Linked DNA regions of Drosophila melanogaster. The protein of the gene in region 1 interacts with the protein of each later gene in a pairwise test. Each region holds a gene or a part of one and is shown on either strand. Other genes may lie near its edges.

The links.
Region 2: the proteins of OdsH (region 1) and CG11906 interact in a two-hybrid assay, tested with the Drosophila melanogaster proteins (one large-scale study listed by BioGRID).

Annotation. Positions count from the first base shown.
Region 1 is NC_004354.4:17,781,817-17,798,530, reverse strand, and holds the start of OdsH (Ods-site homeobox), read right to left. Parts: upstream 7,522-16,714; 5' UTR 7,465-7,521; coding exon 7,083-7,464; intron 1-7,082.
Region 2 is NT_033778.4:19,274,547-19,291,205, forward strand, and holds CG11906 (uncharacterized protein), read right to left. Parts: upstream 9,416-16,659; 5' UTR 9,237-9,415; coding exon 9,006-9,236; intron 8,934-9,005; coding exon 8,226-8,933; intron 8,166-8,225; coding exon 7,823-8,165; intron 7,762-7,822; coding exon 7,584-7,761; intron 7,522-7,583; coding exon 7,077-7,521; 3' UTR 6,872-7,076; downstream 1-6,871. Other genes in the region: rib (ribbon), read left to right, coding at 3,583-5,568; AANATL5 (arylalkylamine N-acetyltransferase-like 5), read right to left, coding at 10,005-10,673; CG10474 (uncharacterized protein), read right to left, coding at 11,027-12,052; AANATL6 (arylalkylamine N-acetyltransferase-like 6), read left to right, coding at 13,437-14,105; AANATL4 (arylalkylamine N-acetyltransferase-like 4), read left to right, coding at 14,580-15,254; Fkbp12 (FK506-binding protein 12kD), read left to right, coding at 15,643-15,679, 15,840-15,910, 15,972-16,190.

The DNA.
Region 1 (16,714 bases):
CGCCAAATGAGTTGTACACTTCGAGGGCGTTTCGAGGGCGTGGCACTTGTAAAGGTATTTAAGACAACAACAAAATTACACCTCAAAACTGTAAATGGCCAAAGAACACAAAACAAAGAAGAATACGAACGGTACAAGTCAAGTGGCCGAAACAAAATACCCCTTTAAATTTTTTTTTTTTTTTGCCCTACCTACAAGCACTGCTTTTTTTCCCATTTGGCCAAAAAATGTTTTTATCTAGCGCCGCCATCTTTGTGCTAAACGGTAATTCAACAACGGTATAACGACGAAAAGCAGGGGCGGCGTGGGCCTAGCAGGGGGGGGGGAGTTGGGGTGAGGAAAGGGGTGCACTAAGCCAAATCCGCCCCTTGAAGTGTTTATCCTTTAGTTTTTTTTTCGTTTTTTTTTTGGCAGGGGAACGGTTTTTTGGGGCAGGACTGGCCTAAAGTGTTTTCAATTTAAGTTTAGAGAACAAAACGCCTTTTGATTTTTATTAGTCCACCCAAAGGGGTGGGGCACAAAATAAAGGCAGTTGCAAATATTGGAATTGGAGGGACCAGAGAGACGCGCCACTTGGTAGTGGGTAAAAAGAGCTGCCAAAATGCATTCGCAGTCGGCCTAGAAAAAAGATGTTGGCTTCTATTTTGGCTGGCTGCCATTCTGCTGAATTTATGGCCACCGGCCAGGGTTGTCGCCCTCATAAATTATGCAAATGCTAATGCAAATGCAAGGACGACATGGATGGGTTGCAGTATTTAGAGCGATATAAGGGCGCTTTGCTTTATTTTTGATAGTGCTCCGATTTCTTGTTTCTCGTTCGCTTTTGGCAACCGCCTAAATGGGGTCCCACTTAAATAATTATCATTTCCCGGGCCAAGCGCAAAACAAAAAAAAAAGAAAATAAATAAATAAAGCGGAGAGCTCGTCAAAAGCTCATCAGGGGCCCGACGATCGGACCAATTAGTGCAACGAGCCCACTGAGCGTTTTATTAATTAGCCAAGGAAAATCTCGGTGGAAATTGGACCAATACGCCATACCCCCCATACCCTATAGCTATCCCTTCCAATTGCCCCCTTTTCTCCGATGCGAACAAGAGTCCCATTAGTCGCTGATGTTGATGGGTTGCGTTGTTCGCTTTTCGGCTCTTCGGGCTTCCAGTCTTGTTTTCGGCCCCTCCCCTCCACTCCGCTCTACTCCCTTCCCATCCACTCACTAAATCTTTCACTTTTGGGCGAGAGAAATCTTCGGATCAGCACTCATTCATTCGTCCATGCGGAGCATCTATCATCTACACTTGGCAAAAATGCTGGAGAATAAATAATAAATAAAAGGAGGCTTCTTAGGAAATAATTTGATAACTATATAGAACTGATTACCAATTATATTGATTTATTCTATGGCTTGTTATTTTAATATAATAATATATTAATAAAATATTTAGAGATGAAAAATACTTTAAGAACTGAGAAAACTAATCAAATTTAAAAATCATTTCATGCCTTTATAAACCCATTGCATGGAAGCCTCAGTTTCTCGCCGTGCAGCTGTACCTGTTTCCATCTTTATTTTCCACTCGACACAATCACAATTAATCTATGGGTCTAGTAGTTCAGTTGAGTTCTCCCGGTAGTTCAGCTCCATCGAAAACCCCTTGAAGTCCCTTGAAATGATGGCAATTACCAGAAGCGCTCGCGGTCAGCGCTGTCTAATGAGCGGCCATCGGCTGGAGCGGATCAGCGGAGATCACCGGAGATCACCTGGAATCACCTGGTATTGGGAGCCAACAACTCAATTCATTCATCACCGATGGACTGATGATCGCTGGTCGGGAGGGGGCCCCTTTATGTTTGGGCCCGAAAAATGTTAGAAAACACAAGAAACAGAGAAACCGAATAAAGGCAACCTGACGGGGTGTGCCAATGGCGTTCTTATTAATTTGACCAATTTCCACAAGCAGAGGAAAATGGGGAAAACTTAATTAAAATGTCGTAAACGAAAATTGTATGTTTAGGCACGCGGTTTTCGGTACTGGCAGCGGCGGGCAGGGAGCTACCAAAAATAATTAAGACATTTCGCTTCGAGTTCGACCTTTTTTTTCTCTACCTCTCTTTGGGTTCACGAAAAATGTTAAGAAAAATTGCTGCCACAAATTGTTTGGCTGCCCAATTTCCACAGGTCTTCCCCCCTCGACTTTCCCCGCTGGTTTTCCATCGCTCTCCTTACAGTTTTCTGTGCCCCGTTTTCCCCGACTTGTGCCAGCTCTCTTTTTTATACATATATACATGTAAGATTGTTTATTATTATTGTTTATTATTAATTTAATTATTAGTTTAATTCTAAATGCGGTAATTATGTAAAGTATTCTTAGTTTGTGACCGAACGACTGCTGCTGAGAACTCGACTGACTGCAACGCTGACTTCCACTCGACTCCACTGCTGCCTTGCGATCGTTCCTTCGATGACTGATTGTCGATAGCTTCGATTTCCGACAATCATGTTGCTGCTCAACAGCGCTGCCAACCGGGTTGTTGCCAGCCTTCAGCCTTACTCCATGTTACATTCGGCCCTCCTGATCATCATCATCCGACCCGGATGACAATAGGTCTGCATTTTCGGCTATGTACTTCCACAACTTCATGTTGTCACAGCTGGTGGATGTGACATTGGGTCCTTCGACGTTTGCTGCTTTTTTAACGTCATATCTGCCATTGTCTTTGACCCCTGTGACTTCGTATGGACCTAAATACCCGCTTGCCATCTTGCGGCCAGCTACAAATTGGGTCCTTTTAATTGCAACCAGATCACCTGCTTTGTATTTGTATTCAGCTCGGCGCTTTTTGTCGTAATTGCGCTTGTAGTCCTTCTGCGCCTGCTCGATGTTGCGTTTTACCAGCTGTCTCATCTCATAGCGGTCCTCGCTGAATTGACAGACCACTTCTTCTTGGAGCAGTTCCAGTAACCGATCCTCTGGCACTGGCTGCATAGCTCTTATGAGCTCCTTAAGACGGCGTGTGACCAAGTCAGAGCGCACTTTGACCTCCTCACCAAAAGGTTTGCCATCCCCAGCCATTTGGTACATGCTGGTCGTATTTCGTATGTCCGTATTGCCCTTGGCCACATTGGGTACCAAACGACGCTCGTACATGCTGGCTGGACGCTTGATGGTCGACTGATTTGATGAATCATTGGAGGAGCCGCTTTCCCCATTGACAGTCCCACCTTCAGGTAGCGACAGAGGCTCGTGCTCTGTATCCGGACTGCTCAAGCTCAGATCAATGCGAAGTGGCTCATCGTACACGCTGTTGTTCGATGCGCTCGAGAACTTGGACTTGAGCTGCGTGTTCTCGCTGGACAGCATCTGCACCACGTTCTTTAGCTGATTGATCTCCGATTTGTAATCGTTCAGCTGTTTGCGCAGCGTTTCCATCTCGTTGTGCGAATTCGCGCTGCGCGGTGGCGTATGCACAATGGCCGCTTGTTTTTTATCTGCTTCCAGGTCAAGAAAAGTATAGCCTTCTGCACTACAGATAAGACGAAACTTGCTGATAAAATCGTGTCCCACTATTCCATCGCAACTGAATTTAGAATCGTGGACGACTAAAACGTTGTGGCTTGCTTCCACCTGGTCGGTCTTGATTAATGCTCTGAAGCATCCAATCGGCTGTGTTGAGGCATTTCCCAAACCTCGCAATACTGTTGCAGTGCGGTTTAAATCAACATCTTTCATCTTCTTGAATATAGCTTCTTTAATTATGGTCACATCTGATCCTGTGTCCACCAGACAGTTGATGATAATCCCATTTATGATTACTGGCTTTGTTCGTGCCCTATCAACGTGAATGCGCATGCTGTTTACTTTTTCCGGACACTTGCTTGAGATATGGCCCTCTTGATTACAGCTGAAACATTTGGTAGGAAGTGTACAATCCTTTCGTTTGTGTTCCCTCGAACCACAGTTGAAGCAGTGATCTGCTTTTACACCTTGTGTAATTTGCTTTGGTTTTGGTTGAATATTCGGCTTGTCAACAATATTCAGACTCTCGTAGATTTCGAATTCTTGCTTTAATTCCTTAAGAGTTTTACAACGGAGCATAGCACCCTTATACTCCTTTTTAATGTCGAGGCCGTTTACGATATGAGTTATCAAAGCAACTGTTTCAACTTCACCTAAGGCTGCTATTTTCTTCATTTGTAACAAATAGTCGTGTAGAGTTTCCTCCCTCTTCTTCTTCCTGTCTTGCAACTTTTTGTGAATAACGGCGCTATTATAGCTGCCTGAAAATTCTTCAATTAGTAACTCTTTGAGTTCAGTGTATCCACTGACACATTCAGATTCTAAGAAAAGTTCTGCTGATCCAATCATCTTACTTCTGGCTTGAACATATTTTTGTTTCTCCGAAAGTTCATATGCCTCGGCATTTTTCTCAAAAATTTCAAACCATTTTTTAATAGGAATTGATTTGCCATCACAGTCACTTACAACTTTTTCAAATTTTTCTGCAGCGATAATTACTTGCCCCTCTTGTTTAGATTTTGCCAACATGCTCTGGGTTAGAGTATTCATCATTTGTTCAAATTTCTCTTCGACTTTAGCACTAGCGTCTTTATTCTGCTTCTTTGCCTCTGCTTCTCCTACAGGCGTCAACTTTTGATCTTCTTCGTTCATTTTTTCTTTTCTGCTTTCGTCCTCGCTTTCGTTCTCTAGAATTGCTTGTATTTGGTCGGTGTTAAGTTTTTTATTTGTAGGTGGTGTGCGTGTGAACATTCCGCGACAAGGCACTAACACCAGCAAACAACGACAATGTTCTAACGGCGCGACGGTAGTCGATTTTGCAGACGGCGCCACCGGTTAAAAGACAAATTTTGATTTTCGTTAGAAACGAATTTCACCACCTTTGCAATTTAATTGTTTTAAATTCCACAACAGCAAAACGACTTGAGTCTGTATGAGTTCAATCGATTTTTTCAACTTTCAATGCAGTAGACGTAGCCATAACTTTACAACTTTAAAGACTAAATCCACGCACACGACAATTTCAACTTTATCAGTTCTCTCTAGCAGCTTTCCCGACTTTTACCGACTTGTGTTCAAACAAAATCTGTACAACTGATTTTTCCAACTTTAAATGCAATAGATATAGCCACAACTTTACAACTTTTAAAGACTATACCCACGCACACAACAATGTCTTTTTTCTTTAAACAACTGCACCTTCATATAACCGATTTAGGACTGGACGAGCCCCCATGTAAGATTGTTTATTATTATTGTTTATTATTAATTTAATTATTAGTTTAATTCTAAATGCGGTAATTATGTAAAGTATTCTTAGTTTGTGACCGAACGACTGCTGCTGAGAACTCGACTGACTGCAACGCTGACTTCCACTCGACTCCACTGCTGCCTTGCGATCGTTCCTTCGATGACTGATTGTCGATAGCTTCGATTTCCGACAATCATGTTGCTGCTCAACAGCGCTGCCAACCGGGTTGTTGCCAGCCTTCAGCCTTACTCCATGTTACATACATATATTCTTTTTGTATTCTGTAGTTTCGGGGCCGCGACCGAAAACAATAAAAATGACTAATGGCAGCTAATTTCCCGTCGTCGTCGAGAAAAGTAGGAGGATGAGGCCCAGCAAGACGGCCAATTCGGAATCGGAATTGGATGCGCCTCAAAAGTGGTTCAATTGCCAAAAGACCAAAGACAAAGGGCGAGGTACGAAATAGGAAATACAGGCGTTTCCCGGATTGGGCGTGACCTGGGCAAAAAAAATATATAAAAAAACAAGGAGGAAAAGACACCGAAAGGAAAGCAAGACTTCACCTGTCACTGCTCATTTCCCATGCACCATTTCCCATTTCCCGATGCCAGGTGCCTCGTTCCATTCACAAATTGTGATTCCACTTTGTTCATTGATCTCAAGGCTTAGCAATATATTTAATCAGTGTAAGATAAAACTAAAATATATAAAAATAATATTTGCTTACAAAACGTAGTGCTTTGTTTTTTTGAAGAAAATGTTGATGTTTTTTTTTTTGGAAATGGTTTTGGTTGGTTTTTTTAAAAGTACAGCTTATTAAGAGCGTAACTTCTTAGAAAAATATTTGCTTGAACTGGCCTATAATATATTATCCCATTTTATTATGACATTCAACATTTTTTTAGTAAGTCAAACATTTTCCCACTATTTCAACTTACCTTGTCTACAATATGCTAATTTAAAGGCAAAAGGATTATCTCATCAGAAATGAATTAAATATCATCACCAACATAGTATGTATAAAAGCCCATTAAAGTTTTTAGTAATTATTCCAAAATGTCCTCTACATTTTAGCCGATCTCATCTAATCACCTACGTTTAGCGGTAATTCCCGGCAAGGACACTTCCGAAATGGCGTTATTTATGACCACCCACATTTTATGCCCGGATGTCCTGTGGCCCACTCATTTGTTCATTCATTACATTCATTAACTTTGCGTCGAGCTTGCGCAGATAATGGCATTTTCCAAATGGCCGAATTGGAATGGAAAACAAGTTTTCCGGCCGGGGCCTTTATGCCGCCGTGCACTTTATTCAATTTACCAATAAAATTTCAATCGAATTGCTCCTTTTAATCAATTCAGCGCCACCCACACACGCGCAACACACGCATTTAAATACGCGCATGCATAATTCGTGTGTTTTTATGTTTTTTGATCAATTTTTAATCAACAACAGGCGGCAGCAACAACAACAAAATCAACAACATTATTTGCCCGCAGGCCAGGACTTTCAATGTGTGTGTGTGTGCGTGTGTGTGTGTGCGTGTGTGTGTAGCTTTGTGTGTTTTTGCCAGCTTGTAATTGTTGTTGCGGCTTGTTGATTATTCACGTAATTAAATTTGGCCAGCAATTTCGTGTATTTTGGCCAAATGCGAAATGCGTAGTTTATAGAGTGGTTTTTTGTGCATGCTTTTATTAACCAGAGCTATGTTCTATTCATTATTTTCCATTGAATATTAGTTAATATTGACATAGAAATCGAATCAATCAATGTGAATAAGCTAGTAATATCGCCTATGAATTAATCAAACTTACCCGCGTGGATGTTGTGCGTGGGTGACACTGAGTCCAACTTAATACGCTGCTCACTGTGCGGATCCATGCCAAGCTCCCGATTGAGATCCCTTTGCTGTTGCTGCTGCTGCTGCATTGCCACTGCTGCGGCGGCCACTCTGGCTTGCTGTATCAGCGCCATTTGGCGGATCATATACACGGAGGACGAATTGGTTACGGAATTGGGACTAATTTCCGGATTTGGGGCATCCATGGACAAGTTGAGAACGGATGACCAGCCGCTCACTTGCATGTTGACAGCCGCTGCTGCCGCGTAAAGTTGCAAAGCGGATGAACCATGGGGATGTTGGACTTGTCCCCGAGCAGCAGCTGCCTGTTGCAGCTGTTGTATTAGCTGATCCATTTTCGTCTTAGCTTTTGATTAGCTCCCAATTTATGCGATTAACTCGTTTGCAATGAACACACACAATTCAATGCTTTTGCTGACACTGCAAATTAAACTAGTTCATTTTCCTTTAATATTGTCACCTCACTAGCTCAATGATTTCGATAACTCAATTCAACACTGACTCGATTGTTTCTTGCTTTCTTTCTGATATTCCCTCATAGCTCTTGGTTAGCCTTACGTTAACTGCAGGATAGTGTTTACTTCGGGTTAGCGCTAACTTCGCTTTAATCAGCAGGCTCTTTTGGTTAACTTCGATTTTTTTTTTTTTTTGTTGGGACTCAATTCACAAGGCACTAAAACACACACACACCGAAAAAAAAGGCGACAATCCTGGCCGCACAGTGGAACGTAGCAAGCGAAATGTGGCGTAGCGTGCACAGTGGAGCGGATCGGCGGCCCACTGGGCAAAAGGCTGAACTCAGTGCAGCGGCGGCGACAAACAAATTGATTCGAATTAAAATTACGGCCAGCGAGTTGTGGAGTTTTGTGGAGACAATCGCGAAGTCGGTGCGAGCGGGATGGCGCGACAGGCGCGTACAAATGAAAAATATGGAGTTCGTTTCGTCTTCTTCGTGTTTGTTTAATAAAAATGCGCATATGTGTGTATGTGAGATGGGGGCACCACTACAGTCAGTGGGAAAAATGGGGAAAAAAGTGTCACCAATGTTGGTTGGTTGCTCGTGGTTTGAGTCTGTGCTAAAAAGTGAGATGGCGACACCTGCTGCTGCAGCAACAACAACAACAACAACTACTGCAGCCGCCGCAGCGGCAACAACAACAAGCTCATTTTCAACACTTGACGGTCAGCTGCCGTTGTTGTAGTTGTTGTTCTTGTTGTTTTAGGGTCGCATGCGCGCAAACTGCAAGCAAAAATCATTAACGTTCAAATTTATGTGCGCCAAAGCGAGAAATAACAAAACGAAAAGCGAAAAAAGGCAGAGAGCCCAGCGGAAGAAGAAGAAGAAGAAGAAGACGAGACTGAAGCAGCAGCAGCAGCAGCGGCGGCGTCGACGTCGACAGCGCAGCCGTGGCAATAAAAAGAAAAATGGTTTCACTTAACAAACATGCCAAGGCGCCGTCCGCAAAAACCCACCACCCACTGGAACCACCCACACCACCACCCACTTAACCCCCCCGCGGCGCACGCTTAACCCCGCGCTGGCCCACAAATGGTCAATGCAATAATGGTATTTTTCTGCCTGACTAAATTGTGCGACAGAGAGGCAAGGCGGGTAAGAGCGAGAGAGAGCGGGATAAAAGAGAAGAGAGAGCGAGCGAGAGCGTGCAATGCGCAACAGGGAAAATGAAATGAAAAACGCCAAAAAAATTGATTTAAAGTGAATCAGTGTGCGTGTGTGTGTGTGACTGTGCGAGCGTAACCCACCAAAGAGCGCGAACGAAAGAGAGCGCAATAGTCAGAGAAGCCCGAGAGTGAACACGAGTGCGGGCGAGACATACATAGTTCAGCGGCAGGCGTGGCCACAGAAAAAATAGGGGGAAATTTCATATTAATATGATTATGGCCAATTTAAGACCTGGCAAGAAGAAGACGGCTAGCGAGCAGGAAGAAGAGAAGTAGTGGCAAAGAATGGAGAAGAAAGAAGTGCATGGCTGAATCGCTGTGGGTTGTAGAAGGGGGGTGCTTTTCCCTCAAACAGAGAAGAAAGAGAGGGCAAGAGCTGCGCTGCTCCCTACGAGAGCAGAGCAAAAACTGACATTTTATTGATTGTTTTATGCGATTATAATGTAATAATGTCTTAAATATGTGGGGGAATGGTTGGGGGCGAACCGGGAACCCCCCATAAATACACCCACTTTTCCGAGGCAGTTTCAATGCGCAGCTGCCGTCTTTGGAAAATGAATTATGGCTGCAGGAAAGGGACGGAGCACGACTTTAGCCAGGGTAATGAAAGGCGAGAGCGAGCGAGAGAGGGAGATAGAGTGGGCAGGAGTGACCACCCAAAACCCCCCCACTGAACTTCCACCCGTAAGCCCCCTGAACATTTTCTGGACTCTCCTTCATCATTGCTTTGTGATTGGTAAAAAAGAAAAGGGCAAAAGGAAATTCCATTTGCAGCTTCTCCTTTTTTCGTTTTCGGTGGGCTATCGCCACATGAAGATCTATATAATAACCCACCCGCTTTCCCGAACTCAAGCTCCTCGAACCAAAACCATTACGCCGTAGCCGCACTCAACTCAATTCAATTAATTTTCACTTGATTTTTCCACACACAAACAAATTTTCATTTAATTTGCTGCGGGGCGTTGGTTGCCTGACTTTCCTCTCGCTTTTCCCCACCGCTTTTCCTCTCGCTTCTCCTCCAGCATTTTCCTCATCGCCTTATCGGACGCCATTTTCTTGCGCTTGATTTTCTATTAAGTTTTCCCGGCTCTATTCCCCGAACAACTTTTCGCCGCTAATAGGGGCACTCAGACCTCCCCCCCCCACCACGCCGCGACAACCCAATCTTTGTCTTCTTCTTCACTCAGTTAGAAGTTGTTGGAAAGTAAATTTTCTTGTGACACTTTGTTGCGATTTGATTGTTATGCTGGGCCATTATTTCCGCCTGCTTCTCCTGGAATTTCCGTAGTTTTACTTAACATAATTAATTGTCATTGGAAATTAGACGAAAGTCTCAATGCTTCGTTACTACGTGGAATAACAGAGATGAGTTTAGATTGTAATACAGATACCCGAAAATGCTAATTTCTCAGGACTAAAGAAGGTATACATAAAAAATTATTAAAATGTCATATAAATATTTAATGACATTTATGATAATTCAAAAGCAGTTAGAATTCTACAGACTGCAAACATAAATAGCTATTAAATTTTTCCAGAACCATAGATGGCATTTATTGGTTTTTAGGGAGTTTATTAATGACTGAAAATGTTTTGTTTCTTTTTTTGTTTATTTGTTTTTTAACATTTCCTGTATAAATTTAATACAGCAATATACTAATGAGCTACTGTAAATATTTTTTAATTGACTTTTAAGTATTTTGGGCTACTTTTAGAGCTTCGTAAAATGTATAGTTATATAAGCCAGAAACTAGTGATCAAGGTCACCTTTATTGAAAGGAAAGCAGCAGCCAATTTAATGAATTACATTTAAAATGGTTTCGCTGCTTAATTATGGCCTGTTCGCCATTAAAATAAGCCAACTTGTCGTTTCATTCCGACAGCAATGACATAATTTGTTTTGGCTCTTCGCTTCATTTACTTGGTTTATCAAATTGTTGCAATCGCAAATCAATTATTATTAAAAACGCATTAAAAACAATAAAAACGTCATTACAATAAGCGCGGATGGAGAAATGGGGGGTAAACAAAAAAAAAAAAAAGAAAAAAAGAAAAATAACCGGAATAAAAATAAGGCAAATCGAGTGGCATCGGGCAAAATAAACTAAATGTATATTAAGTTTTAATCATTTCACATTCGATTAAACAAATCAAGTTCGTTTCGATTCGATTCGGGTTGTCCCGCTTATCGCCCCATATCGACAGACTGTCTCCTGTCCCACTGATTTTTATTACACTTTATTATTATTTACCTACTGTCGACTAATTTGTTTTTAATTTGTGCTGATAAAATTTATGAATAAATAATACGGACAGCGAGCAAATAACCAAATTAATAAGTGACTCCGGAAAAGGGGTCTTCGTGGGAATGGGATGGGAAATCGGATTTTGGAGTGGGAATGGCAATGGTAATCTGAATGGGAATAATGCTACCAAATAATAACCAAAATGCGGCACAATCACCGAAATTGTGACATTAGTAGCCCGATTGATTTGTCAAATCATAAACATTTATTGAAGTCCCATTTGTCACGGAGAGGAGGAGAAATTATTTTCGGCGGCCGCGACTGAAAATGATCGAGTTTTGGGCATTTCGATAGTAGAAAGTGCGCTACATATGGGTTTTTTTTTTTTTTTTAATAAAAGTTTTTATGGTTAGGAAATATTATTAGTAAATAAGTGAAAAGAGAATATTGAGCCAATTCAATATGCAATCATTTTTACTTCAATGATTGCTTTTTAAATATATTTGTTATAAAACTATATTTACTTCTATTGAAAAAGTATTTATTTATTTTAGAAAAATATAGTTTCCCCACTTGTTGGCTTCTCCCATGCGAATTTTTATGCCATACCATTTGGCCGAACCCATATACCCGAATCTAGGGAAGATACCCTATCCTGCCAAAATCAAGCCCCTACTACTCGCAACGTTATCGCCGATGTCTGGTCAGGAATGGAGCATATATGTAATTGTGGGTGGGAGTGGGTGGTTGGGGCATTGTATGTGCGTGAGTCTAATAACTTCATTAGGTGAGCGTTACTCATACAAAATGTCAGATGGGAGGGGGAGGGGTTCGTTGATTTGTTTTGGGTGATAAGCACTTAAATTAAGTCTTAATACAAATGCCGCTTGTCGCACACGTGTCGCATCGCCATCGAGGTCGAGGGGTCGGGTTCAGATTTCGAATCCAGATTCGGCCCTTCTATATCCCATATACATATATCGAACGGTCGATGGGTGACGAGGGTGAGGGGTGGGGTGGGGTGAGGGGGCTGCGGCGACACTTACGTTGCGCCTGTGAAATGGACATTTAATTATTTGCTGTGATTAAACAGAATGAGAGCAGACATACACACACACACCCCCCTACATGTCACACTTTCGAAACTGTGTGTGTGCGTGTGTGTGTCTAATTCCAGGGCCCAAACATTGGGAAGAGGGGCCAGGAGGTGTGAAGGGGGCTGCTCTTACCAGCTTCATATTCCAATTATTTATCTTATCAGTCGTATCTTGCAGTTTTGTAAATAGTAAGAACCGCGCTCAAAAACCGCAGCCACCCCATCGAATCGGAATGAGAGTATCTGGTTTTTGAAAACTCCGAGTCCCTGACAATTTGACAGTTGCATCAGTTCCACATCCCCCCCCCCCCCCCCGGCAGGACCTTATCGTCAGCATCTTTTTGTATCCTTGCTTACCCCCTAGCGAAAATATTTACGTTTCCCAGAGCGCCGGATAGGGCGAAATCCGAGTCCTTTTGCCCTGTCAAATTAATGAGATTTTGCGTTTTGATTTCTGATGGATCGATCGATTTTGTAAAGGGGTAAGTTAGCGGTATGGGTTCGTCCATCGTAATGTTTGCTGCAATGGGGTTAAGCCAAACTAACTGTCCAATTATACAAATAGCAGGTGACAACTCAGCATATGGCACCCCAGGGTTGACTTTGCTCCTTAATATGCAAATTTACACTTGCCAAATGGCTGTGCGATTTTTTATTGCGGGGTCTCTCGGTTCGGGACTGAGACAATCATAATACAAGTGCTAATAAAAAAAAAAAACAACTCACCCACAAAACAAATAACGAAACAAAAAAGCAAACTCAAACTCAAATTGACTTCTAAAAGCGGCAAAATCAGCAAAAAATTTGCATTTCAATAAACGATTATCGTAACTTTGCGTACGGTTTTTGGTTACGCTCGCAGTTTGCCATTTCGGAACGGTTACGGATACGGTTACGGATACGGATTACGGGTCGAGGGTTACGGGTTACGGGTTACGGGTTACGGGTTACGGCTTACGGGTTGAGGGCTACGAGTCGTCGGGTTCTCCAGATCCACTGACATTGTGGGCGGCGAAGGTTTACGACTGCCGGCGCTGCCCAAATTGTTGGTGTAAAAGTCAAATGTGGAAAATTTATTTTATATTTTTAGCTTTCAAATTAAATAAAGTTTTGCGCCGTCTCCGTTTTATTTGCATTGGCATGTTGTCACCTCCATGCCGTTCGGGCTTTCCGCTCACGTTTCCCACGTTTTCCAGTCCCGCTTTATTGTTTAGGCCGTTTTATGGCAACGGCGAAAGAGAAGGAAACTCCGGCTAGAAGACCAGCAAAACGGGGAGCTGCCACAAATCACGTACGGCTCTTAAATATGGCGCTCGTTTCATGTCCATTTCATGTCCGGCAAACGGACGGAGGAGCAAGAGGAGACGGAGAAGGAGGAGGAGGAGGAGCTGGAGCTGGAATCCCCGTACATAATATGATATCGGGGGGCTCTGCGTCTATATATGTATGTACTACATATGCACCAGGGACGGAACAGCAATCCGTCCATTTTGCATGCAAACGCAATTTGATAACGAGCGAACGTATTAATATTATTGGGCGCCATTATTTCACTGCCACACGGCACACACAATCGCATCCCTCCAAAAGCGCTGGTCAGCCCACCCATGTGCTTGGCTGGCCTTTTTTCCCCCGCATCCCCCATCCTTCATCCCTCATCCCCAATCACCGAAATACCGGGACAAAAAATGATGGACATTTGAAGCTGGTTGAAAAAGAGAGCAAGAAGAAAGCTGAATCTGCTCTACACCTTTTTATAGCCAATTTGTAGATGCTCTTTTATGTCTATAAATAGAAAAATGTTATTATATGCCATTAATATCCATTAATTGGTGCTGCCAAGAAAAAACATTAAATAGGGAATAAATCCATAATTATTAATATAATATATATATTTGCATACAATTATTATGTGATTTCTTAAACGGTCTGTTAAAAATCAAAGTTCTTTCTTAGGATAGTTCTTTCTAATCATCCACATATGTATAATAATTATATCTGAGATTTCCTATTTTTCCATGATTTTATTCTTATGATTATGATATTGTTTAATTTGATCGTAATATGCAATATTGCTCATACGCCGCCTTGGCCCGACTGCCAAATCCAGTGAAGTCCAACATAGAGTGTGCGAATCCTGCTTAAGGAAAATCTCGTGGGGGCAGTGGACCAAAGCGGTGGGCGGCGGTCGTTGGGGGCGGGGCTTATCGGTGCGCGCGTGCAACTTATTGCCACAATTCGCAGCCATTGCCGAGCGCATTGGCAATTGTGACTGATGGCCAATAAATTTTTACAGCCCGGACATATGGAAATGGGAAACGGAATCGGAATATGGCAACGGATCTGGACATGTGCGTTGTGGGTGCTTTATCAGGGCACATGAATATGTATATTTACATATGGTATATATGTACATATGTACATATGTATGTATATGGCAGCAGTCGACCCCTTCTGCTTATTAAATAAATCACACAAAAAAAAAACAAGGAGAAACGCAGTGCGCTCGTATGCCACATAAATCCATGTAGCCAATTATCTCATTTGTCTAAACGGACCTCTGACATCGCGGAAATCGGAGAAAGACGATCCCCCAGCTCCAATTCCACGGACGCACAGACATTTCATTTCATTTCATTTGAATTCGTTGCATTTCAATTGCTCGGCGGGCACAAAAGTTGTGTCCCCCGGGAAAAAGGCGCAAAAACAAGCAACGAGAATTGTTCGTCTCTGTCAACCCCTCTAATTTATTTGGCTTTATTTCATTTTCATCTCTCTTTTTCCTTTTTTTTTAATATTTTCTCGTTCGCTTATCAGGCTGCCGTTTGAGTGCTTATCAGCGGGCTTATCAAGCTAAGCAGAACATGAATTATAGGGGGTATCAGGGGGTCTTGAGAGTATTCGAGTCTGCGAGCCAACTGACAAGGCGCTGCCTTCAATAACAATTTGCCCATGACTAATTGGATTTATTGGAATCGAATTTATTGTGCTATGCTTATTTAATATTGACTGTATGCGCTGTTGGTTTTTGATTTTCGATTTTACAGCATCAAATGGAATTGCAATTGAGACGATTCCATTTATTTATTTTTTTTTTTTTTTGTGCGGCCAGAGCACAGCAAAAGGGGGCAGAAAGTTTTGCGTTGGAGGTGGCGAATCCGGCCCGGAGGACCACGAGAGCAGCCGTGTTGAGGCCTCGCTAATGACCCTAATAAACAGTTTTGCGGACGCTGCGCATACTAATGAGCCTTTGACCAAAGGAGCCAGGACCTCAAGGAGCAGGCTGGCACCTTACAAGTCAAGTGCACAGAAAGAAAAAGTTCACTTAAAGTCAAATGGAAATCTATATAGAATAGATATTGAATTAATGAAACGAGTTAAATTAAGTTATTTCATTTATTTGTGAATGTGAAACGTTTCTTAATTCGGAAATACGACTGCATGTATGTTTCTTTGTTACTAACTATTGAGTATCCTTTTATATCCTTTAATTTCCATGTTTCTCCTGTGTAGTTGAATGGTGGGCAATAACAATAACAATAATAAATGCAAAGTGCAGGATGTCAACACCTTACACAGCTGCCGGTCCATTTACCGCCCCCTTCGCCAGCCACCCCTGGTCCATTACAACCACCTACATACATATCCATCTGGTTTTGGTTTTGGCCAGCCCATAATGAGCAATCCATCTGCGGCAACACCCGCACGTAGTTTAGTGAAACTTCCTTGATTTACATGATTCCCCCCTGCACTTCCACAGCAGTCAGTTACTCCTGACTGAGGTCCTTTTCCCTATTTTCCGTATTTTCCTCGTCCTGGCATGTGTGAGTCCTCGTCTCGGCGGCTGGCTTAATAAATTGTTTGCCATTAATAACAATAAAAATAGATAATCTCCGTATAACAAATTAATGATGTGCGCCGGCAAACAGAGACGGCTAGATGTGACAGGCGCTGGAGGGAAAGAGAGGCAACCACGTTCGAGGGTGGCAAAATATGAAAAGTTTTGACTTCACTTGCTGAGTACACTGGACTACAAGATAGGGGTTTGTGCTTACAGTAGTGTATGGTGTGTATAGCTACATATATTTAACTAAAAATAATTTTAGATCGATGTAGAATCTTAAATATTTTATTACGCTTTTTATTTGATTTACTAAAGTATACAAATTATAATTACAGTTTCGAATATTATTGATTTTTGGCGTGTGGTATAAAATTAAGAAACTGGTCTCCTTCAATGAATGCGAAACCTGTGCCATGTTGGCCAGTGTTGGCCGGGGCTTCTTCGGTGGTTGCTCGCCAGATACCGAAGTCATAACCCAGCGGACAGGACCTGCAGGACCCGGGGTCGAGGTGAGTGCTCCGTGGAGGACGTGCCACTTGCCGCAGCGGGCAAGGGCGTAAGGACGAAGTAAACGAGTGTGGGTGGATGGGGAAGGCGTTTCGTCCTGCCCCGTCTTCCACCCCCTCCCCCCGCCAGCACCCACGGGAGTCATGTAGTTGAGTACGGATTTGAAGTAAATTAAAAGTCACTCACACCCGGTCGTCGTCGGTCCAGGC
Region 2 (16,659 bases), on another chromosome or scaffold:
CTGTGGCCAGAAATGTGTGGGGTACAGCTGGTACAGATGACTATTGCAAATAGGGAAATGTTCTTTTTGTGAACTTGATTTTTATGAAAAATTAAAAAAAAAAACTTAATTTTGTAATTAATTTTTTTACAATGCAGTATTTTGTATTCGATTCTCATTTGAACTCACTGTTATCGCAAGTTTTATAATGTTAAAAAGGGCTGCAGAGCTTTTGTTCTTTAGAAAGTCCATTACCTAAGGTCTCCTTGAAAACCTCAACCCCAAAGAATGCTATTTTAGAAAAATAAAAAACGAGATACCCTAAGACATTTTACAGGTGCCTCGCATAATTTGCATGATAATAACGAAATCCCAAATTGGCAGTATGTTATATGTTACCCTTTCAAAACGCATCCCCTAGCGACCGTTAATTTGCAATTTGCATAAAAAATCAAGAAATCGAAGGGTTATCGTCCGAGGGGTCGAAGGTCGAGACATATGCAAATTAATCGCGTTGCAGGCCAAAACTGCATTCAATTGTGCATTGATTGCCGAAGGTCGTTACTTTATCTCTACACTTAAATTCAAATTTGCATAACTAAGAAGTTGTGGCAGAAAAAAACGTTGAAAGAGAGTAAAGCGAGAAAAATTGAAAATATACGAAAAGACAAGGCGACAAAGTATCAAAACAGGCAGTTCAAAATGGCGACGAATGCCGCGGAGAAGCGAAACGAGGAGAAAGGGTGTCGAATAAAATAGTAAAGATCGAACAACGAAAGATCCGAGACCAGTTTTTCACGCAACCTGCCTAAATTCGAGTATTAACCAAAGAAAGAAAAAAAAAAGAAACGTAAAAAATGCAGTCGCCAAAAAGGCAAAAGACTGGGACACAGCTATGCCCCTCTCCCTCGCACGCACTGCATCCAATGGCAGCAACCATATATGCAGCTCGCACACACATGCACGCACGCACACGCACACAAGCAGTCGCAATCGCAATCTCGCTCACGCACAAAACTGCAACTGCGCGAAAGAGAGGGCGCGAGGGTGGATTCGTAGCACAGTTTTCCTGTTTCCCCTTCGCATTCGAACAGTTTTCTCGCCGCTCTCTCGCTCTCACCCTCTGTGCATCGCTCCATCCCGCTCTGGCAGCGCTCGGGAAATTTGGTCTTCAATGACTTGCTGCACACGAAAACCGTGGCAGTTTTATTCAAGTTTGAGCGCTCGAATCTGCAACAACGTGCACGCAAAACTCTCAAAATTTTCTCAAAAACATCAAAATCACAAGGCGAGCGGAAAACTCAAGTATAAACGCTAAACGTGTCGCAGTTTCTTGGAAAATATCTAATATTTTTGGCAACATCTCGTGTTTTGTGCAATTGTGTGTGTGTGTGGAGCAGAAGAGCGAACAACCAGGAAAAATACCAACTAAAAAAAAACTCTGTTCTGAGAATGTGAAAACATTTTTAACATCGAAAAACTCCGAAAGCTACAACATTTAAACAAATCAAGGGAACAACAGTGGACAACTGAATGCGAAATACCCTTTAAAGTGTACCAGCAACTAAATTGGCCACTTAGCACCATCGATATTGTGCCCCACCTGCGGCATTTTCATTATTTCGTGGTAAGGTTATAAATAATTTATTTTACCTAATTTAAACGCGAACTCAGAATATAACTGAAAATGTGTTTTCGTTTAGGCAGTAACCCTAAGATGGTTTCTTTTTATTTGCCGTTATTAAAAGTCCAAATTTATAACTTAGTAGCACTGTGCTCTTCGCAGACCTTTAAATTTCCGAATTATTTTTGGTGTAATTTCGCAATTTTCAAGCCCAATACGTGTCAAAAAAAATAAAAAAATAGAAACTGGAAACCCTAAGCCCAGCGAAACCGGTTCCCAAGTGCATTCGCCTCAATGACGTTTGTGATAATTTTAATTAAACGTTTTTCTCACAAAATGGTGGCCGCTGTTGGCGAGCTCTGTTAGCAAAAGTTGGCCAAAGCTTTCCGCTTTCCGGCGCGAGCTTTCGATCATTTGGCGATCGTGGCGTATACGCAATGCGCGATCTTCGAGGCGTTGAGGCGTCGCCTTTATGGCATTATTATAACCGCATCTAATGCGCTTGCTTCTTGCTGCAAAATCGCTTACCTGCTCGATGTTGCGCAAAACGGGAGTGGGAACTGGAATGGGAATGGGATTGGGATCTCCGCAGGTTGCCCATTATCCTGTCGGCTAGACAATGGCTAGACAACAACAATTGATGATCTCTTGCGCATTTTCCGCAGACAATAATGCGATCGTTTGTTTGCCGCCTTTGTTTGATTGTCCGCATTTCTATCCTCATTTTTTTTTTGCCATATATGTACCTTCTGGTTTATTTTTTACGGTGCCTCGCCCCTTTGACATTTTCCTCTTGTTGTCTGATTGCCATTATCGTTTATGGGGGGATCCTGCGCCACTCTACCTGTTGGTAACTGGAGATTCACACACGCCACATGGCCGCAATTTGGAATGCGAACTCCTTGACGAATGGCCAACACATGACGCCAGGATGCCAGCATATGGCGTCCACTTGAATCTGAAACTCGACCACAACCCGAGTACCGAATTTGAAGTCATGCCAAGGACAAGGGCATAGGCATATGGCCTGCCTTTCGCCCCCGCTCCCCTTCCTTTTTTGTACACGAAATGAATGAAAATTATTGCAAGTTTTTCAGCCACATTTTCCCTTATTTTCCTTGCCTTCCCATTTCCATTGCCCGATTCCAGGCAGCGGTGGCGGTAAAAAAAAAAGAAAGCCTGACATTATACATATAGATTTGAATATGTATATGTATGCGTAAAAGTAAAACGCGCGAAAAGCAGCCGGAAAAATACGCGCACACATCTTTCGAGGGATGTTTGCATATTTTTTTCCCCCATTTTTCCTACACGTTTTTCCTCGACACCACCACTGCCACCCACCGCCAACTTCCCCATTTCACTTTCACTTTTTTACGGCGCATAAAACTTCGGGGGGTGGCGAAGGGCATAAATTTTACAAGCAAGATTTTCCGCCAAAAAAAAAAAAAGAGAAATGGTGGCACTGGAGGAGCGACCATCCCCAGTTTCGCACACCTGACTTCCATTTGCCCACTTTGGGCAAATCTGTTGTTTGTGTGTGTACGAAGTTCTGTGTGTGCTTCCTGTTGATTTTAGCAACCCATGCGAAATTTGAAATGTTCCACACCAACCCTCTGACATTTGCCAAAATCTAATCGCTTGGCCGAGGCTCTAGAACTCGTACTAATTGGCATTTTCTCCGCTTGTTCTCTTTCGTTTCCGTTAACCAGGCAACCAGGTGATCCGTAGGCCTTAAACTGGCGCTCAAGGTCAGGAAGCATCTATCCTTCTACTCGCCGACGCTGCTGAGCGCCGCCTTCACCAGTCTGAACGGTGTGTACAACAACAGCAGCAATAGCAGCGATCCCGCTCCGGACGAGGAGCCCGACCAGCCAGCGAACCAGCACCACCACAGCCACCATTCAAGGGTGAGCCACCACCACATTCCGCGGGAGGCCAAGCAGGACAGGGATCGCGAAACGGAGCGTGACCAGGAGATGGGCGGCCCAACGGCGCCGGTAGCCAGCAGTGGCGAGGTGGGACAGACGTACTGCCTCCGCTGGAACAACCACCAGACCAATCTGGTACAGATTCTACACGCCCTGCACGAGGTGGGCAGCTATGTGGACTGCAGCCTGGTGGTGGACGATGAACAGTTCCAGGCCCATCGCGTGGTTCTGGCGGCCAATTCACCGTATTTCCAGCACATCCTGAAGGATGTGCCGCAGGACCACTGCAGCATCATACTGCCGGGAGTGAAGGGCTTCGAGATTGCCGCTTTGCTGCAGTACATGTACACGGGCGAGACGACGGTGACCAAGAGCCAGGAGCCGGAGATTCTGCGCACAGCCAAGGAGCTTCAGGTCAAGGGTCTGTACGACAACTTGATGAAGTTCAATCATGCCAGCGTCACGCCCACCTCCAGTTCGGGAGCTGGCGGAGCCAAGCCCCAGAACGGATCAGCATCCAACCACTCCTCATCCGTGATCTCCACATCCACGCACATCTCGCCCAGTGCCGCCATCTCGAGCAGCTGCTCGCCACCACCGCCGCCGCAGTTTGGCTATCAGCCGGGCTACAGCCATTATCCTCAGCAGCAGCCGATGTCGGCTAGTCAGATTCCGGCCGGTGAGGCTCCACTGACCCCCACCCAGGCCACACCCCACTCGGCGGCCTCGGGAGCGGGAGAAGCCGGTGGACAGTGGCCACTGACACCCTCCGCCGCCGCCGCCATGTTGAACTCTGTCTACGAATCAGCCGCCGATATGAATCCTCTCAAGCGCAAGAAGCTGTCGGCCATTTCAAGCATGCTTCTGAGTGGAAACCGCGACACACCCATCCTGAGAAACGTTCTGGCCCAAGCTAATCCCGCTGACTCCTCGCAACCCGGACCAATGAATGCCAATGGAGAGAAGACGCCCACTCATCCCCACCAGAACACCCAGCTTCCTGCCGGATTGGGAGTAAGTGGAGGCGAGCGCAACCACAGCTTCAATGGCTCCGACTACGGCGGCGACAAGGAACCACTTTCGCCCTACACAGATCGTTCCTTTGAAGAGGAGACCGGTCAGTCTGGCGGCAAGAAGCCGGAATGGAAGCGATACAAGCAGTATACCAGAGCGGATATGATGTGCGCCATCCAAGCGGTGAGGGAGGGAATGAGTGCCCTGCAGGCGAGCAGGAAGTACGGCCTGCCCAGTCGCACTCTCTACGACAAAGTCCGTAAGCTGAACATCACCACAGGACGTGGCACACACCGCACACCCAAGCGCAGCCCGCCGGGAGCTGAGTCCTCACAAGGTTTCTCCTATTCCGCTGCGGCAGCCGCTGCTGCACACAACTACGGTCATGGACATGGCCATCACTCGGAGGTGAAGCGTGATCAGAAGGTGGACCATGTGCCCGCCCATCACGGCATGCCGCCCACCATTCCACCCTCAGCTGCGGCCCTTCTGGATCACGCTTTCCTTCAGCAGGCTCTGGAGAACCGTGGTGGTGACATGGCCGGCCGAGAGGCTCTCCATGCCATGGCTCTGGCCGCAGCGGCCCATGCCGCTGCCAATCGCCTTTCCAGCAGTCCAGCGGAGATGGACCAGCGCTCCAATGGCCATGGCATGCGGTCGCCAAGTCCGCAAGGTCGTCACTACCCGCACGAGCAGGAGGCCATGGACTTGGAGATGGAGAAGCACGAGCAAAATATTATCAAGAGGGAACGCGACCAGGACGAACGTGAAGATGCGGACGATGAGGAGGATCATGAGCAAGAGCACGTGGAGGATCTCTCGCTGGCTAGAAAGGAGCGGCCACCATCGCCCTACTCGCCCCAGCCAACCGAGGCTGGTGCCGGCGTGATTATGCACGCCAGCAGTGCGTCCGCCAATGGCAAGGATCACGTGGACTACCCATCCTCGCCGCAGTTCGTTCCCATTGGTCTGAAGAGGGAGCTGATGGAAGGCGAGGACGCTCAGGCCCGGGCCGACTGATTAACGCTCACCATGGCCTGGCAGTATGCCACGGACAGCCTAGACTCCTTGGAGTAGGCCAGGCTTAGATAGCAACTCCTATTATTCAAACCCAATTAGATCCATCCTTGTGTTACTTTCCTTACTTACCATCGGCGACTCAGGCGCCGACCAGCGTTGGTGAAGCTTTAAACGAAGAAACCTCATCCCAGTCGTTGTGGGAATCATCCGCACCAGCACCTGGCACCCATCGAAAATCAAACCCACACACTAAACTAAATTGTTGTCAGCATCACTTTGTGCCTAAAAAAAACAGAAATGTTAGGATATAGATAGTAGGATAGGACAGCATAGAATACAGATAGGTACCCTTAGGCTAGGCACTCGTAGGCCATCTTTGGAAACCAGCTAGTTGTAGGCCTTAAAACAGTGTTACTCCACCATCCCAGATGCCGGCCAACTGACAAAACTAAGATATGTGTGCATATGTAAACCCACTTACATAAGACTGAAGGCGGAATCGGGAGGCGGTGGAGGAGCTATCTAAGGACAGAGCAGTAGAGGCTCCCATCAGAATGGGTTAGCGGGTTAGCTACACCTTGTACAACTTTGTTAAATGCCAGTGATTTGTTTTAAAAATTATTAGCACTAGATTATTTATAACGACCATGCATGTACGTGGCCTTACTTTTATGATTTTCGAATCGAAGAGAAACCAGAAGATCCCACTTGAACAGAACTACCTCAAATAGCGTATCTTTGTTAGCCTCATGTTATCCTGTTAGCGAGATATTTAAATCGTCCTGGGTTGAATTTATAAGACTGACACCGACTCAAACGTACCACGAGCAAGAGCACACGCATTAAAATAAAATAAAATAAAATTATAAACTAAACTTAAATACGAATCGAGATCCTTAGTTGAAAATCTGTAAGTTTCCCGCAAATTGATTAGTTCTAAGGCCATCAACTAAACGTAAGCACTAAAACTAAACTATTTATAAGACAAAACAAAACAAAACAAAAAACAACACACATGAAAACATGCGCTGGGGGCAATGCAATAGGCTCTTTAATTATAAACACCTACACTTATGCAACTTATATAGTCGTACGGTCGATAATGTTAAATTGTTATACGAGTAACTCTGTACATAGCATCATAGTCCACACATACACATGCGAATTATAAATCTAGTTTTAAGTATTCCGAATTGTACTGCAATTTAAATTATCCCTAGACACCCGACTTTCATCATGTAAAGATCAGCGAAGGAACGCGAAATAAACTGACTGAAGAATCAAATAACTAATGCTCTTTTATCTGACAACGGCACAATATTTATTATAAAAAATATGCATATCTAAATTTACTAGAGTTGATTATACAAAGAGAACGCAATAGTCGAGTTCCTCGTTGCTCGACCAAAGAGTGTGCATATTAGCACTTTACACTCTACTAGTAACGTGTAGCATGACCTATTCGAATATATTGCAGACGAAGAATGGAGCTCACAACAAGTTCGTAATCAGTGACATCCAACGCAGTTCGGATTTCGCTCCTCGAAATCACATATTCCGATAGCGAAACGAAAGGGTTTATGTTGAGGCAAGTGCATGGGCTGCGTGGAGGGCATCGGTATTCGCGGAATATAGAACTCACGTTCTTCGTACGACTTGACTATTCGAGAATAGTCCGATGACCGTGGCACATGGCAGTTGACAATCGAGAGCGAACGATCAATGCTGATGAGGGGCTCGTCGTTGGGACTGTGCCCCAGCTTTTTGCAATGGGCCAGCAGCTTAGCCTCGCTAAGAAACTCCAATCGGCAGAAATTGCAGTGGTAATTGATCCCTTTCCTGTGCAGCTGGAAATGCCGATCTAACTGGTGCTGCAACTCAAACTCTTCGCGGCACTTATGGCAGATGTAGAGGCCGCGGTTCTGGAGATGCATATGGTAGTCTAAAAAGACCCTGCAAGGAACACAAATAAACCAATAAACTACTTTCTTTAAAAAGATCGCTGCCCCACTTACTTGCTGGTGAACACATCGCCGCACTTATGACAGTAAAACCAGCTCATCTTCCAGTGCTCCATGTAGTCGTGCTTCATTAGAGCCACTAGGGTGTCCGTCTGGTAGCCACAGTCAGGCGTGAAACAAGTGAATGATTTCAGTCGCACCTGCGTCTTGAGCAGGTCCAGTAGGTAAAGATCTGAAAACGGATAGCAAGACTTTTTGATACAGAACGATAACATATTTCAAAGGATATTTACCATACTCCTTGTCGGTGGTCATGTGCGTTTCCACCATTCCGTAGTCTCCGTACAAAAGGGAGAGATTACCAGCGCTGTTGCTATTGCTGCGGCTGTGGTTAACAATCCAGTCGCCAGTAAAGTTCATACGTCGCGCGTACATGGCATCCTCCTCGCCCTCTTCTAGTTCCTCCCCACCGCTTTCTATCTCTTCATCTTCTTCGTCCTCTTCCTCCTCATCCATGTCGTACCTATCCCAGGCTTCGGAGCATGCCCGTGAGCGAGAGCGCATCGAGCATGCCCTTGGCACCCGGGAAGTCATAACGGTTTGGCCAGCTTCCTGCTGCTCCACAATTGCTAAGGCCTGTACAGAAAAAACGGAACATATAAGTATATCATTTTTGGGGGATACATGCATACTAACCTCCTGCTTGGCCTGGCAGATGGTGTGATGCATTTCCCACTCGTACTTCGTGTCCAACTGGGCTTCGCACAAATCACACGGATATCGCTGCTGATGCTTCATTCGCTCATGCTGTCGCTTACTGATTAAGGTCTCAAACTCTGCGTCGCAATGCCGGCAGTAGTATATGCGCGATGATCGGATGGCTCTGGATGGCGCCTCTTCATCATAGCTCGCCTCATTTAGTACCCGGCATTTGACGCGCGATGGACGTGGCTGCTTCCTGCGCGTTTTGGAGCAGCGCCTCAAGTGCTGGGCGTAGTAATCCCGTCGAAAATAGGCCCGACCACATTCGTGACACTCCAGCCGTGTTCGCCATTTCCAGCCCTCCGCATGCTTCTCTTCCGTTTCCTTGGCCGATGGAGAATATGGTTGTTGAGCGAGGTATACTTCCAGCACGGAGCAGGAAGAACGCGAGCGAACGCTCTGCCCGCTGTGGGCCACCTCCTCCTGACTCTCAATCAAGGTGGTCGACACCTCTGCATCAGCAATGGGTGGACTGTGCTGGCTGGGCGATGTCGTGGTGGTTGTCACCTTGGTGGTTTCACCACCGGAACGCTGCAGCCGTTGCATGCGCTGCATCAGGGATCGAGTGACCTCCGAGTGCATGTTCAGCTTGCACACGCACTCCACGCAAATGGCCTTCAATGTGGATCGGATTACATCTGCCTGATAATTAAAGAATTCGAATTCAAAGAGTTGGCATGGATGTCGGAATTGGATGATGTCTTGAGTACCCACATGAATCTTCCAGTCGCGACTTAGGCGACGTTGCATTACATGGTTGGAGCGCAGATCCAAAAGCGCCGATGCCTTGGCGGCACCACAAACGGTGCAGTTGGCATCGTTGGCCTCCGCTTCCCGCTCGGCGCCTACGTGGTTCTCATCCTGATCCTGCCGATTGTCATGTTCAACGGAGCAATTGCCGTTGGTGCTGCTGGGTTCCGGATCCGGAGCCGTGGCATCCTGCATCCTGCTGTAATAGGGGCGCTACTGGATAACAAATGGCACACTCAATATATTGCACTTGATCCTTATGTCATTACTGTGCCGCATTAGATGCGTGAGTCGAAAAACTACACTCAAATCCGCCGAATTCCAAGTGTTTTATCTAGTAAATATTTTTTGAAGAGCAGAATGCAGTGTGACCGTTGTTGTCATTGAGAAAATATACCACCGGACACTTTAAAGGTCTGGCAGCACCAACCGGTTATTTCAGTTAGTTTTAAATTAAGATAATTCAATTTTGGATTCGACATTTTCTAATTGCTTTATTTAATACATATAACTTAGCGAATATAATACATATGTACTTTCTAAAATTGATCACATTAGTGAGCATATCATTTAAGGGAAACACAAATCAAACAAAATTTCTATATGTACCACAAAACAATACACTACAGAAATAAAATACAACGCACTTTCGAAACGAGAAACATAAATTTGACGACTTTAAAGAAAAAGTACAATTGTGAGCCCACAAGAGGCTTATGCCGTTTGCAATCATCAAGTGGTTTACATAGCAGTGAAAAGTGCTTACTTCGTACTTGATAAATTCATAATCAACACAATCTGTGCACAATAAAGTAGAGCCCTTAAATTTTATTACTTTATTAGCTCCATCTGGACATGAATTTTCACCTGGGCGGTCTCTATCAATTGTCAAGTCCAAAGGTTCTTGCGATATAAGAAAACACCCCTATTTGTTACTTAGTTTTGCGAATTCGTACTAATTTATTAAAGTTTTGAGGCCAAGACCCGAATGTGGGTATGGGGCGCTGGTGGATTATATATCGGTCGGCCCTGTTCGTCCTTGTAGTCAGCATAGGCCACCGAATGGATGCACTCACATCCCGCTTTCATCGCCGATCGGGAGGAGTAGTGATTGGTGCCACTGCCGATGAACAGACGGAGTCCCCGCAGGCGACCCAATTTAAAGAGACATTTGGAAAGTATGACCAAGATACCTCTTTGCCTCATTGAGGGGTGAACGGAGATGACCAGCAGACTCAGGTAGGAGGAGACTCCGAAGCGTTCGAAAATGTTGGCTTCGCGCTCCACTTTGGCTATAAATTTCCTGCTGCGACCCAAAGCATTTGGCTCCATTTCCTCGGCTTCCTTGTGCTGCTTGGCCATTTCGATGGGATCCATCGTCTCCGCCACGGCAATGCCAACCAGTAGTCCCCCGTTGTTATCGTCGAGTGCCACTATGGATAGTCCCTGCCTGATCACCGCCAGGTATTGCCTATCCACTTCCTCCTCATGCTGCAGGTGAATGGGCTCCTCGAGACCCATTCCCATGGGCTCGTCGTAGTGAAAGTAGTCCGTCATGAAGGTTTTCACTCTTGGATAGTCGTCCTCCTTCATAACTCGTACGGTTATGCCATCATTTTGACTAAGAATCATGTTGGACTGAGCAGCGATGTTTGGTTTCCCGGCTTGATAAACTATGGTTCATTCTACATGACTGCAGGAGCCTTTTAAAGAAACCGAACTGAGTTATCAACAAATACAAGCATAATAACTTTTATTATTTTCTATATTCAGATATGATATGATAGATAATGTTTGCGTGCCATTTGCAAAAAATGAACATGCTTTTATTCAGCCTTTTAATCTACCGATAGGTCTAATCTGAGGCACATTTTCTTTTATGCAGGAGCTAATCGTAATTCTTCTACTCCTGGTTTCAGATACATTTTAAAATGGCTAAGTGCATAACAATTATAAGATTTATAGTCTAACAAAATTAGTAAACATTACCAAATAACTTGTCTATCGTCTTCGGAAGGAGATTTCTCAGGATTCGCTGAGCACTCAACCGATTCCGTGCGCACCGGTTGTCCCGGACTACTGACCATATAGGCAAACTTTCCATTATCCCTGGCCATGCCAGTACCATGGCACCTGACTGCGTACGTTCCAAGCCGGTTTGCAACGATAACGGCGACTTCGAAATACTTTACGTGCTTCTGGATTCGCTGGATGACCAACTCGACTGCCTCCGCCGGTGTTTTGCCCGCCCGCATGGCCTCCACCGCCAGGAGAGAGGGCAGGAAGCGCATAAGGATGTCTCCATCTCCAGTGGTAACAGCGGCGCCCACTTCGTTATCCGCATAGGCAGCGGAGCCGGGAATCGAGGCGTCGCCAACACGTCCGGGCAGCGTGTAGCGTAGTCCGTTGGTGGAGGTGCCCACATGGATGTGACCCTCCTCATCGATGGCGGCCATGGTGATGGTGTCGTGGTTATCGGGACCAATTTCGATCCGATCCGATTGCTTGGCATTCGGATCCCATGTGACCAAGGGCTGGTAGGGACCGCAGGAGGTCCTCGGATCCGGGTGGACATTTCGCCAAAAGTTTGGCTGGCAGTTGTGCCTCGTCCAATTTTTCAATGACTCTATGTTGTCCTCAGAGTTTAGTGATTCGTACTGCAATCCCATGGCATTGGCGAACTCATCGGCCCCATCGCCAACTAGCAGGGTGTGAAGCGTGTGTTCCAAGACATGTTGCGCCACCTTGATGGCACTTCTGATCCGTCGCAGATCGCCCACAGCACCCACCTCCATGGTGCCTCCATCCATAAGCAAGGCATCCAGGGATGTATCTCCGCGCTCGTCGGGATTGCCGCCGTAGCCAACAGTCTTGGCGCACTGCAGCTTTTCGCACATGGATATACCGCCCACAACGGCGCTTCTCGTCTGTCCAAGTCCGCCCTTTTTCACATTGAGCAGTCGCCACGCCTCCTTTTTGGCTTCCGCAAAGGGCCAGGTGTTGATAACCATCGGCAGGAGCGGTGTTGTGGTTTTTTGTCCGGAAAAGTATTTATAACTCCTGTCACAAATCATCAGAATATATCAGAAGCAATTCACTGTAATCCGTTTTTTTTTTACCTACCAAAGTAGTAATGCCACCAAAAGGATGCATGCGAGTCCCGCAAATAACTTCTTCATAGCTTTATTTTTGATACTGGGAGTCACCGGAGAATCGTCTCTTTTTATATGTGACGAAGTCAATGGAGGCACGCATTATAAAACTATATTTTGTTCGCATAAATTTGCACTGAGAGAAATAGATATATCGAATTATAATATGCAAGCAATATTATAATTCTTATTTTGTAACAGCGATGATTTTGATAACAGTTTATAATAATATATAATTTATAATAATAAAAATGTTTCGTTAAGTAACTACTTTATTTGCACTCTAAAAAATATATCAGCCTGTTAACAAATATGGTAAAAGCTAACAAAAAACAGTTCATAATAATATTCATTGACCAAGTAATTTGATTCTGTATTCACGTGAGTTTCGAATCTATCAACATACTACACATATGCAAATGACCTACACTGGAAATAAAAAAAATTTACATTTTACTATAGATTTCTTACTGATGTATGATAATGGAATAACCTTTAAAGCAATTCTGTATTTAATATGTTAATTTATATGTTAATTGAATGCGAATGCTAATAAAATAAGAAAAGTTATGCTCGAAAAATGTTATCATTATCAAATTGGCAAACCAATTTTAGGCATTATTAAAACCACGTGCCAGTTATGCTGATATTCTCTTTTGTTTGACAGGTTATTATGAAGATGTTTGAAAATTTCTCAAATATATCCAAACGTATCGAGTTCTGGACAGGGAAACACAGTATCGCTGCTGCCAATAGTTAACAACATCTGGCCATTTGCAGAAGCAAACGTGCTCGCTCCATCTGAAATTATGCGGAATTGGACAGACGAGGAGATTTTCTGGATGGACAATGGATCAGAAGAACGCGCCATCCTGTCATCCGGACAGGCACGAATCGAATCCGAAAGCACGTAAGATTCTTCATGAATACTGCATTTTGCTGATGCAGAAGAATTGTGATTACCTCTTGCTTTAATTTTTTCCTCTTCCTCTTAAAGAAACTGTATCTTATTGTAGATTAGACCTATCGGTAGATTAAAAGATTAATACCAACATGTTCATTTTTTTGGAAATGCAACGTATTATCTTATTTGAGCACCACCTTGAATATAGCAAACAATGGAAGTTCTTGAACTTGTATTTGTAGATAACTCAGTTCGGTTTCTTTAAAAGGCTCCTGCAGTCATGTAGAATGAACCATAGTATACCAAGCCGGGAAACCAAACATCGCTGCTCAGTCCAACATGATTCTTAGTCAAAATGATGGCATAACCGTACGAGTTATGAAGGAGGACGACTATCCAAGAGTGAAAACCTTCATGACGGACTACTTTCACTACGACGAGCCCATGGGAATGGGTCTCGAGGAGCCCATTCACCTGCAGCATGAGGAGGAAGTGGATAGGCAATACCTGGCGGTGATCAGGCAGGGACTATCCATAGTGGCACTGGACGATAACAACGGGGGACTACTGGTTGGCATTGCCGTGGCGGAGACGATGGATCCCATCGAAATGGCCAAGCAGCACAAGGAAGCCGAGGAAATGGAGCCAAATGCTTTGGGTCGCAGCAGGAAATTTATAGCCAAAGTGGAGCGCGAAGCCAACATTTTCGAACGCTTCGGAGTCTCCTCCTACCTGAGTCTGCTGGTCATCTCCGTTCACCCCTCAATGAGGCAAAGAGGTATCTTGGTCATACTTTCCAAATGTCTCTTTAAATTGGGTCGCCTGCGGGGACACACTCTGTTCATCACCAGCGGAACCAATCACTACTCCTCCCGGTCGGCGATGAAAGCGGGATGTGAGTGCATCCATTCGGTGGCCTATGCTGACTACAAGGACGAGTTGGGTCGGCCGATATATAATCCACCAGCGCCCCATACCCACATTCGGGTCTTGGCCTCAAAAATGTAAAAATTAAAATAATTTATTAATTAATTATTACTTTGGCCTTGGCAATTGATAAAGGTCGTCGAGCTGGAAACGCAAGTCCATATGGATCAAATAAAGTAATAAAATGTAGAACGGTCTACTTTATTGTTCAGATATTGTGTTGATTATGTATTTATCGACACATGACCTTGCAATAATTACAAAATCTGATATTAAGTAATCACTTTCCACTCGATGTATTTATCCTCAAAGATTTTGGGTCAGAAAACCATATTCGAAAAATGTTTATTACTAAAAGGATAAGTCAGTCTGGCACTTCATTAAAAATAAAACCAAAAGCCGTTGGAAACAACTTTCTCTTCGCCAAACAGAAACAATCTATAAATATGATAAGCCATTATCAGTGATAAGCGCCGAAGTATAAAAGCCATGTACACATCGGCGTCCTCTTCTGTCTTAAGAAAAGCATATAGAACGAATTAGCTCCGGATCGCGATGACTCCCACGACAATAGATGGCGTCACGATACGCATCATGCGCCCAGAGGATTATGCACAGGTAAAAGCCTATATGGAGGCTGAGTACTACACATCGGAGCCTCTGTGCCAGTCCAGCGGCGAACCCGTTCACCAGCAGAACGAGGAGATCAACGACGCCTTCAACCAGTCGATAATCGCCGAGGGCACCAGCCTTTTGGCACTGGATGAAAACGATGGTGGCCGGATTGTGGGTCTAGTTCTGGCATGTGCCAGTTATCCCGATAATGTGAATGCAGGAACATTGAATTTGAAGCTCGAGAATGTGGAGGATAACGCTTGGGGTCGAATGTATCATTTACTAATGAAGGCCAAGCGCGAAGTCAATCTGTTTGAGCGCTACGACATCCCGAAGGCGCTCTACTCCCACGTGACCAGCGTGGCCTCGTGGAAGAGGGGCAAGGGCCTGGGCTCCCGCCTGGCCGCCACCCTGATGGAGCTGGGCCGATCGAATGGTTTCCCCCTTATGATGGCCTTCTGCACTAGCTTCTACTCCGCTCGCCAGAAGGGGGCCTTGGGCATGGAGTGCATCTATTCCATCGACTACGCCGACTATAAGGACGATGAAGGACGAGTGATCTTCACACCGGCAGCCCCACACACAAAGCTGCGAGTGATGGCAATCAAACTGTGACAGTTGATAACAAATAACTGAGTCGAGGAATTTAAATAAATTATATAACTATAGTTATGTTTATTTAATACTTAGCACACTTTTGGGGGACCTATACAAGTTGACCAATGACCAATGTGTCTCGGACTTTAAGATAAGAGGCAAGATCTTGCACTGCTTTATTCTTTCGGTTCATAGTAAACAATTCAAACGGACGCGCCAAAATACAAAAACGTCCTTATCGATAACTCGGAAAGCAATTGGTTTTGATAATTAATCAAATTGATGTGTGCGATAGTTTCCGCTCACCGACCATCGCCCACCGCTAGCTGTCATTCGGCGACGCGACGAACTGAAATCAACGTGCTTATTTTCCGCTCGGTAATTTGCCAGAAAAAAACTAATCGAAATGGGCGTACAAGTAGTTCCAATTGCTCCTGGTGATGGTGAGTATCCAATGATTGGGTTAGAATCCGCAAGAAATGCCGTAAACTACCGGCCTTTCTAACCTATTTAGTGCATTTTCGCAATGCACAATTCGGAAATACCTGCGACAATATGGTCGTCCCGCTCACACACATCCATTTTTGCATTCCCCGCCCGCAGGCAGCACCTATCCCAAGAATGGCCAAAAGGTCACGGTCCACTACACCGGCACCCTGGACGATGGCACCAAGGTGAGTACGAATCCCGATCCTCGCCATCCCCAGCTAATGATCCGCCTTGAATTCCACGCAGTTCGATTCGTCGCGCGACCGCAACAAGCCATTCAAGTTCACCATCGGCAAGGGCGAGGTCATCCGTGGCTGGGATGAGGGAGTTGCCCAGTTGAGCGTCGGCCAGCGCGCCAAGCTGATTTGCTCGCCGGACTATGCCTACGGTAGCCGTGGCCACCCCGGCGTCATTCCGCCCAACTCCACCCTCACCTTCGACGTCGAGCTGCTCAAGGTCGAATAGGCGCACAGGATGCCCAATGTGTATACCCCAAACCAAATCGCAGGGGGTTGCGGACCGGCGCACCGGCGACGAGCCGAAGAACATCATAATCGGAACCAGAACAATCCAGCAGCATTTGCCAACCCAAAATAATAATGATAACTTCATACACAGCTCTAAACTAGAACTAATTTAACCGCAAAGGGAACGCATCTTCTACCAATACAAATAAACATTTATTCAAGTCAATGACAAATGTCTTTCTTATCAAAAATCTTGGGATAATCCAATCAAATCAGCTGCGGTTGCCTTTCCGTGCTGCAATACAAATGCATTTCATATTATTTTTTAATCAGGAAAATATGCAAATATAAAAACGCTTTATCATTCTCTTGATAGACTTGAAGTGGTCTACTTGACAAATTTGATTTTATTTTATATAAGTATATAAAGTGTACAAGCATCTTATTTGCATATATATTCGATTTGG